Drosophila melanogaster: one gene and its partner. The gene in region 2 interacts genetically with the main gene of each other region. Each region holds a gene or a part of one and is shown on either strand. Other genes may lie near its edges.

Region 1 (6,141 bases), 1.7 Mb from region 2:
GCTTGTCCTTCAAGTAGGACAATGCGTTGACCGTCTGCAAATGGAATAAGTATTAAGAAAAGATTCTAATGAAGCGCTATTCCTTCAGAACTAACCGCCACTGTGACCTTGCCCAGGATCTGTTCCGGCACCGGCTTCTTGGACAGCTTGAGCAGCTTGTCAAAGCACATGGACATCAGCTCCATGCAGATCCACACATCCGGATCGCGAACGAAGCAGCCAAGGCACTTGACAATGTACTTGCAGTCGTGCGATTTGAGCACAACATCCAGATCCATCAGGATGCGTTTGTTCTCCTCCGCGTTGCCAGTGCGTCGCATCTGCTTCACGGCGATGATCGTGTTGCTGGACAGGTGCATCATCTTCACCACATTGCCGCTAGTCCCATTGCCCAGGTCGCCCAGGTGCTTGAGGTCATTGATGTCCGTCGGATACTGCCGCCCGTTGATGTTCAGCTTGCCGGTCTGCTCCATGATGATCTTCAGCTTCATGTCCGTTTCCGAAACTGGAGGATGTGGCGGCGTGGGCAGCGGAAGTATCACCGGCCGCGTACGATTCAGTCCACCACCGGGACCACTAGAAACTATAGGATATACAATGGAAAACAGCGATATGTTGGTATGATGATAAAAATGTACGTATTAAATTCAATCTAACTAAAAAATTAAACAATATTTTGCATATCTATTATATACAACAAGAATACTTCCAACACATATCTCTCAATTTCTATACGAAAAAAATGCCTTAAAAACAATCCTTTGAAATATTTGCAATAACTTCCAATTGGGTTACCATAGGCCACTAATCAATTAACGAATGCTGCCCACTGTGCCATCGTGTGCGTGTGTGTGTGTGTGCATGAAGAGGAAGAGCGAATGAGAGCGATTTTGTTTTTGTTTGCGAAGTTTTTTTTTCCCTGGCAGCAATTCAATTCAACAATTAGCCACTACAACAACAGCACGTCATAAAAAATAACGCTATTTGTAAACATGCGAAAGAGGAGACACGGCACAATGTCCGATGAACGAATGTGGGCAGGGTGCGGCGGAGGTGGGAATATGTGAGGCCCAAAAAAAATGACAACAACAGTAACGGGCATATCAAGACATTACTCCGGAAATGCCAAAAAGTAACCAATGGCGGAGAGCGAGAGAGGAAGAGAGCACCAAACGCGAGTAGAGAGACGCACACATGCAAAAAGTAAATAAAAAGTATGTAAGTAAATAAATAACAACACTTGATGGCAGATGAAAATCCAATAAGAAAAATATACAAGACAAATATGCAAAAACTTAAATGTATAACAAAAGGAAGGGGAAAAGAAACGAAAAAAGGCGGTGGGTGGTCTCACAACCGTGGGCACAATAACGTCATCTCTTACATGAAAAATTTAAAATTTCTATCAATTTAAGCCTCATAAATAATCGAATAACGACAACTTTTGTCTTTAATAAACCAATTTTGTTCTGATAAATTAACATATAGACCGTTATATTTTGTTAGCTATTTATTCATTTAACTTTTGCTCGCTCATTATGTACCACGAACTTGAAAATCTATTCAATAGCTGATTACACTGTTAAAATTTGGGTGTGATTTTAAGTACCCCTGAAATTCGCGGAAACTATTAACCACTACTAATCTAATCGAATCGAAATGTATTTGATTATTCAAAAACCCATTAGGCATTTTCTGGGGTTCATGTATCAAACAGTTATGGTACCAGGAATTGTTAATCTAATCGAGGCGAAAATAAATTGACGCGGTTCACAGCTGTTAATACCACTGTAGATTTGACTTCTTTTTATTTTTGTTTGGCCCAACAAAAGGCCGAAAACAAGTTGGGTACGCTTTTGGTGTTCGCACTTGGCCTGTCTTATCTATGCAATCGGAAAAACAGAACGGGAAATCGGAGGGGGGGAAAAGCGGCAGAGCTACGGGGTTGACGGGGCGCTGCTGAGGTGCTGGAATGGGGGATTATGAGCAGCTGTTATGCAGTCGGGGAATCGATAGCGTTTGCCCTTTGTTGGCGGCATCCAAATGCTCCAAAGTAAACCCAATGGCAATAGCAATGGGAAAAGCCAAGAAAAGAGCACTTCTCTTATCACAATTTAAGCACACATACATGTATGTACACACACACACGCGCACATACACAGCTTATTGGGCAATGACAATTTATTAACAAAATATTTACACAAATGCGGACAAAAGATGGTTTTGTGGCTTGCGGTTGGCGGTACGGTATATATAGATTTTTGGTGACCATTTTTGGGGATCACGATTTTTCTCAGCCCACTTTTATTACCACTTAACAAACTGTCTACAGTTGCGGTCAGAGAAATGTTGGCTTAAATCCACACCTGTCACAGAGGATCAATAAAGATTTCACCTGTCTAATGTTCGATCGATAAAACATTGATCTTTCTGCGAATTAATATCAAAAATGTTGTTTGTGCGTTTGGAAATTTACTTGGAAAGTTTTACCACGTTTTTGGCGGCCAAAACTGTTTTTCGACAACGATTTACTTTCGAAAGTAGAGAATTATCGAATATTCGAATCGGGAAAGTCTCGTTGGAAAATTTTGAGTTACAGTACGCAGTTTGATAAGCTATCATTTTTAGATAGCGGTTTAGAGTATTCCCTGGTACATGGAGTTTAGTTGTGACATTATATTTTGTTATATTTTTCTTCAACGATTTTCAAAGATTCAGGTAACTACAGTGTTTTTCTAGTTGATCCCAATTAATTTTATATATTAAAGATTTAGTAGGAAGTTAACGAAAAGAGGACTTACGCATGGGCAGTGTGGGCGTGGCTCGCGACACTCTAGTTGTCGGCGGGGTGTATGTTCCACCGAAGGTGCCCGTCGCCGGTGCTGCGGATGCAAATGCGGATGCGGATGAGGATGATGACGAGGCGCTGGCGCTGCCGAAGGGCGTCGCATGAGGAACTGGAGGTGCTGGACGCTGGGCTATGCTGATACCCGATCCGGAAACGGAACCTGCGCCCAAGGAAGGTGCGTGGGTGGCGGATGTGGCTGCGGATGCGGATGTCGCCAGGGGCGGGACGCGGGCAGATGGAACGGAACCGGAAACGACAGGGCCGCGCGCACCGGAGAGGACGATCTGGTCGTGGGACTCATTCTGCGCCTGGAGCTTTGCCTCCAAGGATTGCAGCCGACTGCCGATCGTTTCGAACTCAATGGTGGACATTATATCGAGTCGATTTGGTTCGATTTTTTATAGTTAGTTGCTAGTATCGTTGGATTTTGGTATTTATTAAATTTTTTTCGCCGTTTTTTGGCCAGCACTTCTTCGATTTTCCTCTCACTCACTCCCTCTCTCTCACACACACACAAGCGCGCGCAGGCGGGGGAGGGTGCGTGTGTGTGTGAATTGTTTTGCTGTGCGCCCTGTTTGTTTTGTCGCTGATGTTGTTGTTGTTCGGCGGCACACATACACTGTAAACTTTACACTTGCAAAAATAAAGGATTGCTTGGACTTTTGTTGTTTGCCAAGGGGGGGCACAAAAACAAAATCGAAAAAAGGAAAACACAGTCACTGTGCATTAGAGAGAGACATCCTCACCCCCACACACGCACACACACAGGCATACACGCAGCGCCCTCTCTCTCTTTCTTTTTCAGCAGCAACGGCAACAACAACTTGCGATTTTTTCCTCCTTTTTTGGGAGAATATTTCATCGGTTGTTTTCCTTTCGCGGCGCTGTTTGTCGCACTTCTGCAATCGATTCGTTTCGCGACCGCGGGCGGCGGTATCACTGGCACAATTTGATCACTCGCTTTTGTACGTTTTTGCTGCCTAAATCGCGTGTACAATAGTGATGTAAAAAAACATCGATGCATCAGCCATCGATGGTTCTTCGCCGATAATTCTTAATATCTTTTTTCGTGCCTATCGATGGTTTGCAAAACATCGGCACCTCAGAAACAGTTTTCGAACTAGGAACGGCATCTAAAACTATGTAGGATTTTATTTTACCGAGATAGAATAATTTTCAGAGGATATTTCATACAAATATAATATAACTATAATAGATTTTTCAAATTCAAATTGGTCGATTCGAGAGACTTCGTTGTTCTTGTACTTAAAATAATAATATAAGGTCTACCTATTTATTAATTAATAAAATAATAAATTATTTTAGTACAATTCTAAAACATCGAATTCTATATGTTCAGTCAAACTTGCAACATTACGTATCGAAAACGGAGTGACCAAAGTGCTAAAAAGAATCATAAATATACCGAAATGCAACTTAAGATGGGCATCACTTGGCTAGAACTTATTAAGTTTTCCCTTAAAATAAATGTCTATAAATGTATAAATAAAAAATTAAAGAAAATAAACAAACATTAAAAAATAGGTATGAAGAATATACGGAACAACTTTCTAGAAGGCTTACAAAGAGATATAGATATAATCGATACCTAACTTAATTATCTAAATTCGTTGCAGGTGGAAGCAAATTTATTATCGAGGCACTTCGATTTATTTGTATGACGATACTATAGCTGCACTCGTTGGGATATATCGATAGGACCAACTGCGGCTGGCCAGCGCTAGTGGAAAAGAGAGAAAAACGAGAAGAGAAGCGAAAAGCGATCGGTGAACAGTGCAAAAAGTGCGGAAAGGAAAGCAAAGGCAATAGCGAAAGGTTGGGCGGCAAAACCCGGGCCACACGATCCACACCGATCCGATCCCCATATCACCGACCCGCATCCGAATCCTGACCTGACCAAATGCGGTAAAAATAGCCGCACCGCATCGCATCCGATTCGCACCGAACCGCCAAGTCTTGCAGAATCCGCCAGAAAACACCAAGGAAAGTCGTGGAGAGGAGAGGGTATATATAGCATATAGCATATAGGATATAGGATATAGAAGGGCCTACCAAAATGTCCAAACGCCACCGCCTCACGCCCTTTACCATTGCCAAGGAGCCAGAGGCCGCCATGTAAGTCAAAATGGTCAAATCCTGGCCAGAAACGAATTGTGAATTGAACTACATTCGGCAATCCTTTTAGAGTCCCGCCACGCAACCTGGACTCGCGGGCCACCATCCAAATTGGCGACCGGACCTTTGACATCGATGCAGATAGTCTCGAGAAGATCTGCGATCTGGGCCGTGGCGCCTATGGCATCGTGGATAAGATGCGCCATAAGCAAACCGATACGGTCCTGGCCGTCAAACGCATACCCATGACCGTAAATATTCGAGAACAGCACCGCCTTGTAATGGATTTGGACATATCGATGAGATCCAGCGACTGCCCCTACACCGTCCACTTTTATGGTGCGATGTATCGCGAGGGCGATGTCTGGATTTGCATGGAGGTGATGAGCACCAGCCTGGACAAGTTCTATCCGAAGGTCTTCCTTCACGATCTGCGAATGGAGGAAAGCGTGCTGGGCAAGGTCAGCTGGGGAGGATTGGGGGCGGGTCTAATCTTATCGGGCAATCGCCACTATACTATTACCGTACTACTGCCTTTGCTTTACAGATTGCCATGAGCGTGGTCAGTGCGCTGCACTATCTGCACGCTCAACTGAAAGTCATTCATCGGGACGTCAAGCCCTCGAACATACTGATCAATCGGGCCGGCCAGGTCAAGATCTGTGACTTTGGCATCTCAGGTGGGCTGGCATTCTGTGACTTCTTGCCACTGTAATCATTCTAATATTGGACTGACTTTTAGGCTACCTCGTCGACTCCATTGCCAAAACCATTGATGCCGGTTGCAAGCCGTACATGGCGCCGGAACGGATCGATCCCCAAGGAAATCCGGCGCAATACGACATCAGGTCGGATGTTTGGTCGCTGGGCATCGGCATGATCGAAATGGCCACGGGCCGCTACCCATACGACAATTGGCGAACGCCATTTGAGCAACTGCGTCAGGTGAGTGCCTACCTCTGGCTGGTAACTGTCACAAAGAGGATCTTCAAGATTTTTCCGGACAAAATATGTGTCATTTAGTCAATTTGGGATTTTAGGTCCTAATTATACAAAGGCTACCGATCCGATAATGTATTCCATCTTATCATATATGTAATGAACATTTGGATTTTTCCAATTGTGGTAGCTAAAAGCTTTTAAGAAGGGTGGAATTT
Region 2 (6,236 bases):
ATGCGATTTGCAGCAGAGCTCCACAGCCCATCCTGTCGATGGTTGTAAAACGACTGATGCTTATAGACTAGTCCGCATGGCGATAGAGTACGATCTGCAGCCGATTGCCTGGACCGGATCAGCATCAGAATTTCGGCGGGTGCTATGAGCTCTCGGCATTCTTCTTCTTCAGCGTCTCCATGACGCCGGCGAAGTTGGCCGTCTTCTTTTTGGCCGACTTGGGCGTGGACGTCTGGCTGCGGACGCGCATCTGGGTGGGGGCCACATCGTCGCTGAAATCAAAGTCGTTGGCCTTCTGCGGTCTGCGGGGACACGAAAATCAATCATAAGTTATGTTAACCTTCGGATGGTGCTGCACTTGTTCTTACTCCTGCTCAATGGCGTCGGTGGCCTGTTCGAGTTCCTTGCTATTGCCGCCAGATCCCGCCTCCGGCGATGGAGCCCTGCGTCCCGGAAATTGCCATTGCAGTTCCGGAATATTTCCCGCCTCCAGCATCAGATAGTAGCCCTCTAGCTCCTCCGCGTTGGCGGAGAACTTGTCCGCCGTATTCGCCGCCGGCTCCACATCCGTTGCCATCGTTTTCTCGGATTTAAACAATCCAAATGAACTGGAAATTTGCGTTTCTTTCCACAATAGAACCTATTGGTTTCGCGACCTTTCTGGAATGAAAGCGATAGTTTGCTTTGGCGTGCTTATCGAACAGTTATCGAACGTTCGTTGCTATCGATTTTCGGGCTTAGTGTTGCAAAGTGTCCGAGCTGGGCGGTTGATTTGAACACATTTGCTGCTCGAAATGGATTTTCTATTTATAGGTTTCATTATTCTCTTCTTTATTAAGTGCACACCCATGCCCGGAATGTTTCCGCTCCGAGTGCACACAACTTCGAGGATTGTTCTCGATGGCGCATTGTTTGGTTTAGGGGGAAGAACAATATTATCTTGTTGAGACTTTTACTTTTTAGGATGGAAAGTATGTGTTTAAATATTGTTAATCTGTACAAAGAAATAAGAACTAACAAAAATTAGACTTCCTTTTTAATGTATATTCCTCAAATTACGAACAAACGCTAATATGTTTTAGGAATATTTTAAAAGTCTTCTTGGCAATTTGATTTGCACTTGAAAACAGCTAAAATGCGTTAAAGAAACCAATCTCATGCATATGGAAAAGCCATCGATTATTCATTTTATTTGTATTTATTTACTTTGTGATTACTAAATTCTTAGAACTTTATTCAAAATCATTCTCGCCCGTCATGCTGCCGTTCCTGCTCCTCCGCTCCGCTCCGCATCATCCATATATATATATATATATATATATATATATATATCATATATCATATATCTCAGTTGATCTGATCTGATCGGGTCCACAACCGATTGCTGCCGGACACGGATATCCCTGTGCTGATCCTCCTGCTGCCTCACGAGCCCTCGCTGATCCTTGACTCGTTGCGGCTGGGTGTTTAGCGTTCTTTTCTATGACTTACACATACCATACATATACATAAGTATTATTATTATTATTATAATTATTATTATTATTATTATTATAATTATAATTATTATATTGTGGTTTGCTGTTTGCTTGCTTTGTATACTCGTATATAAAAAAGAATAATCGTACATATTTAATTTAATTAATTAAAAACACAATTTGATTGCAAAAAGAAAGGTTTCTACAATACGTAATTAAATACGGATACGTCCTGATCGTTGGTATTGTTGCCGCCACCGCCACCGCCTCCGCCGCCGCCCCGATTGGAGGAGCCGGATGATTTGTTAGAGCCATGAGCGGCGATGGTCAGCTGGTTGGCCTGATGGATCACCGAGGTGATGTCGCTCTGCGACGCCGAGATATCCTTGCTGGTCAGCACATCGCTGCTACTCGATCCCGACGAGATGTGTCGCTCGGCGATGCCGTACTGGATCGGCTGATAGCCGTGACTTGGATTGTACGTGGCCGAATATGGCATATAAATGGGCGGGTTCGGTAGCGGCCCGATGTCGCTGGTGATGCTCTCGGTGTCCGCATGGCTAAGCGCATGGCCGCCATGCCCGTGCGGCAGCTGGTGCGGATGCAGATGTCCTCGGCCCAACAGATTGGGATTGCGCTCCTCGTTCACCACGTAGTAGCACTGCTCCGAGAAGGTCAACTTATTGACCGTATGCTTGATGTAATTGCTGCGCAGCATCGCCGAGACGATCCTTCGCGCCTCCCGCCTATCCTGAACATCCTCCACATTCTCCAGCACCCAATTGACCGCATCGGCGCCGATAAATGCATTGGGAATCGTTATCTTTAGCCACATGCGATCCCTGATCTCCAGGCCGCTGTCCGGCTTCGTCATCGCCTTAACGATCTCCTCGAGGTTATTCTGGTCCAGACGCTCCTTAATCGGCTCCGCAATGTCGGCAATAATACTGTCGTGCGATGTGAGGGCCTGAGTGTGCGCCACCCAAGCACCGGGATCGATGGGTCGCACCGGCTCCGTGCGCGGAATGGTGAAGTAGCCCTTGGGATTTGGGTCCCAGCACTTGGCCACCACCAGCTTGATGGGTCCCGGCTTCTGAACGACTTCTCTCAGCACACGTACCGCCTCGTCGTTGGTCATGTTCTCGAAGTTGACATCGTTCACTTGGAGGATCATGTCGCCCGGTTCGATGCGTCCATCGAGTGCCACTGCGCCGCCTTTCATGATGCTGCCCACGTAGATGCCGCCGTCGCCGCCGCGATTCGATTGCCCGACAATGGATATGCCCAGAAAGTTGACCGCCTCCATGTTGATGGAGACGGTAATGATATTTAGGGACATGGTCGAGTCGGTTATGGAGCTGTACGAGGAGGTGCGCGACATGCTGGGCGCCCGTTTTTTGCGCCTCTGCGGCTTCTTGCGCACCTGCAATCGCTGAACGCTGCTATAGTCGGTCATGTCGCGGTCCAGCGTCAATTCGGATTCGGTGCCAAAGAGACTGGTCGAGTCCAGATCGCTGGAGAGCACGGATGCCGATTGATATGTGAGCGGTGGCGGCTGCAGCAGCGGATTGCCCATCATCTTCTGGTGATGGAGCACCTGCTGCTGTTGCTGCTGCGCCAGCTGGACAGGCTGCACCTGCTGCTGCTGTTGTTGTTGCTGTTGCTGGTGCTGCTGCTGCTGTTGTTGTTGCTGCTGCTGATGCTGCTGCTGTTGCTGCTGTAGCTTCCTGTTGGTCAGACCCATGCCCAATTCACACTCACTGGTTGGCAGCTCGGAGCAGTTATCTGACTGATTGGTACCATCGGCGGAGACCAGCCAGGACACCACTCGCCCATTGAAGCAGGGCAGTATGGTGGAGTCGTCGGCTATTTCCTCTTTGACCACACCGAAATCGGCGTCCATTGACTTGAAGAAGTACTTGTAGTTGTTGTTCTGCTTGTTCAGCACCAGCTTGAAATCGCGCAGCGTCACCTGGGCGGATGGAATGGGGATCTTCACCAGATACGGCGTCGTCTCATCGTCGATGTGGTATATCACCTTCGTCTCCTGCCCGCCGCCCCTGTCCGCGTCCATTTTAGCTGCGCCGACTGCGGAAATCCACGGGAAAACTCCTCGACGCGATAAAACGCGATCAAAACGAAATGCGATGGATGCGGTGGGGAGGTGGCGTGGGAAGTTGGTGGGGAAAAATCACAGGGAAAACGGGATTAAGCCAGGGAAAAGCCGATACAACAAACAAAATTCACTCGATTTTGCTTTTCTCCCCCTGGTCGCTCTAGCCCTCTCGCTCTCGCACGCGTTTCTTTTACTTTTTCTTTCTCTTTTTTTTGGGCTGGGTATTTCGATTCAATGGAAGCGGCGGCTGTTAATTCGTCGATTTGCACGGCGTTGATATTGCTCCATTAGCACGATTTGGTGCGCTTTAATGTCGGTGCACGCAGCGGGGGCAGGGCGAAACGAGCATATTGCTAGTTTATCAATAAATTTGTTAGAATTTTGAGACTAAAAAAAAACAGTGTGTTAGCCGCTCGTCACGCACGGAATGCCAAAGCGCCGGGCAGTTGGTCACACTGCCGGCGATGCCAGACCCTTTCGAATTCGAACATTCTTAACATTTTCTCAAACGAATATTCTGAAAAAGCGTATGGAAAACTACTAAAAACTGCAATGTATTTAGTTTCTATTGGAAATGCTCTCTCTAACGATATTTGCTTTACAATTTGAATGTAGTTCAAACACTTTTAAAATTAAATACCAAAGTTATCGATAAATATCGTTTAATTTGAATACTTATTCAAAACAATAAATTTATTATAATTTAACAAAATAGCAATTTCTATTACATAAAACATGTAGAATCTAAAACTACAGCTATATTGAACTCTTAATTGTATTAATTTACCATATAATGATGTAGCATAGTTGAAGAGTGTCCTGTTTAAAAGTAGAGTCTTTATCCTTGTCATGGAAACTTGACCAAGGAAACTCATCCATCCATCCACTTGAAGCCTGCGTTCCTTATCTTCTTTCGCTTTTCACACGAAAATCTCTAGCGTTGGCCGCAGTTTATTTATAGCTGCCCGATTTCCAGATAACCCCGCCCGCCATTTATCACGCAATGGCGCTCGTTATTTAAATCAGTTTTCTCTTTTATTTGTATGCTTTGAATTGGGATCACTTAGATATACACTCGACTAACTTACTGGCTAGTCCTCCACGCGGGCGTAGGCACATGTACGCCCGGTTTTATATTATTGAATCGACTACGATAATAGCAATTTAAAAAAAAAGGATTTCGAAGGGGGCGGGACTCGCGGGGAAGGCGGAGGGGGGCTATGTATTCCAACGCATTTAAAATAAAAATCATTATTGATATACCTCGACCGCCCGGAACTTCGCAATCCCTTCGAGAGTTGGGCGAGCATTTTACAATTAATTGTTTTCTTTAGTTTAGTTTATATTACATAGATACATCTGCCGTTTGTATTTATGTATGTCCGTCCGCTGTTTATAATATACGAGATATATATATATAAAAATTTATATAAATATATATATATATATATTCATATATATAAATATATAATTATATATACGTGTATATATATTAATATATATTTATATACATACATATATATATATACATATAAATATATATAAATTTACGCTACACTAGCTATTACAACTAAGTTAATGGTTTTACAAAAAAAAACTTGTATCTGTTTTATTACAACTACAGCATAAAACGAATTATCGAGTGTCCGCTTTGTTTGTTTGTGTATGTGTATGGGGGAGGGGGATGGGGATGGGGAGGGGAGTGCTGTGTGTGAATTATTTTTTACAATGTGATACGTGCTCTTCCTGTGGCCACCATGGACCAGGCCTCCACGCTCACTTAGCGTTGACCAGCTCGACAATGTTGCTGCTGATCGAGAGGCGATCGACGATATCCAGCAGGATCTCCACATCCTTGATGGTGGCAACCGTCTCGGGGGCACCCAACAGATTCACATGCTTGCCATCGATGTTCGCATAGAAGCATTTGTTCTTGAAGATGACGGCCCGATCGTAGGGCACGCGGCACGTGTTCTTGTCAACGACAACGCGCCGGAAGAGCACGCACGACGGCTGATACTTGTGACGGTCCTCCTCGGGTATGTTGTACGCCTTGAGATCGCCCGTAAAGATGGTCATTGTCTGGCGGGGCATCATCGACGGCGAGACCTTGTACAGCGTCACCTTGCTGGTCCATTTGCCCGATGGCACCTTTATCCGTGACGCCACATTGGCCAGCTTGACCAGCGCCAGCTCCAGGCAGGTGCGCTGCTGGCGCGCCATCTTCGACAACATATCCTTGGCCGTGCTAACCACATGCCACGTCTCATAGCAGGTGATCTTCTTTACCACACGACCATCCTCCTCGTGAAACGTTGTGGTCTCGGGCGGAAAATATTTGGGACTGTTGGCATCGTCGATGCCACCGCCGGTGGGCAATATTTCGCGCAGCGTTGTCAGCTCCTTGTCGCGCTGCTGCTCCTGCTGGTTCTCCTTGCTGCGACGCTGCGGAACCAGGCTCGGCTTCTTGAACACCGGCTGGACATCGTTATCGGCCAGCAGATTGCTCAGCCTCCGGTCCGCAATCAGCGCATTCACCGACGACGCTGTCGTGGACAGCACATTGCGCCGATTGTTGTTCAACTTGTTAACCGCTACCGCTGCTGGAGCGGACGTCATCGCCGCCGACGCCGCCACCGACG

What was found. A genetic interaction does not mean that the proteins touch.
Region 1: of dsh (region 2) and hep, changing one suppresses a phenotype caused by changing the other (phenotypic suppression), as found in Drosophila melanogaster (5 studies listed by BioGRID).

Annotation. Positions count from the first base shown.
Region 1 is NC_004354.4:13,086,558-13,092,698, forward strand, and holds the start of hep (hemipterous), read right to left. Parts: upstream 3,878-6,141; 5' UTR 3,220-3,877; coding exon 2,802-3,219; intron 584-2,801; coding exon 96-583; intron 35-95; coding exon 1-34. Other genes in the region: lic (licorne), read left to right, coding at 4,926-4,984, 5,055-5,445, 5,532-5,664, 5,727-5,929. UniProt on the Drosophila melanogaster protein: Required for the epithelial cell sheet movement called dorsal closure (DC), which allows establishment of the dorsal epidermis. Controls the expression in the dorsal epithelium edges of another dorsal closure gene, puckered (puc).
Region 2 is NC_004354.4:11,353,670-11,359,905, reverse strand, and holds dsh (dishevelled), read right to left. Parts: upstream 4,026-6,236; 5' UTR 3,553-4,025; coding exon 1,681-3,552; 3' UTR 1,182-1,680; downstream 1-1,181. Other genes in the region: Pa1 (PTIP associated 1), read right to left, coding at 143-302, 369-577; CG1737 (uncharacterized protein), read right to left, coding at 5,371-6,236.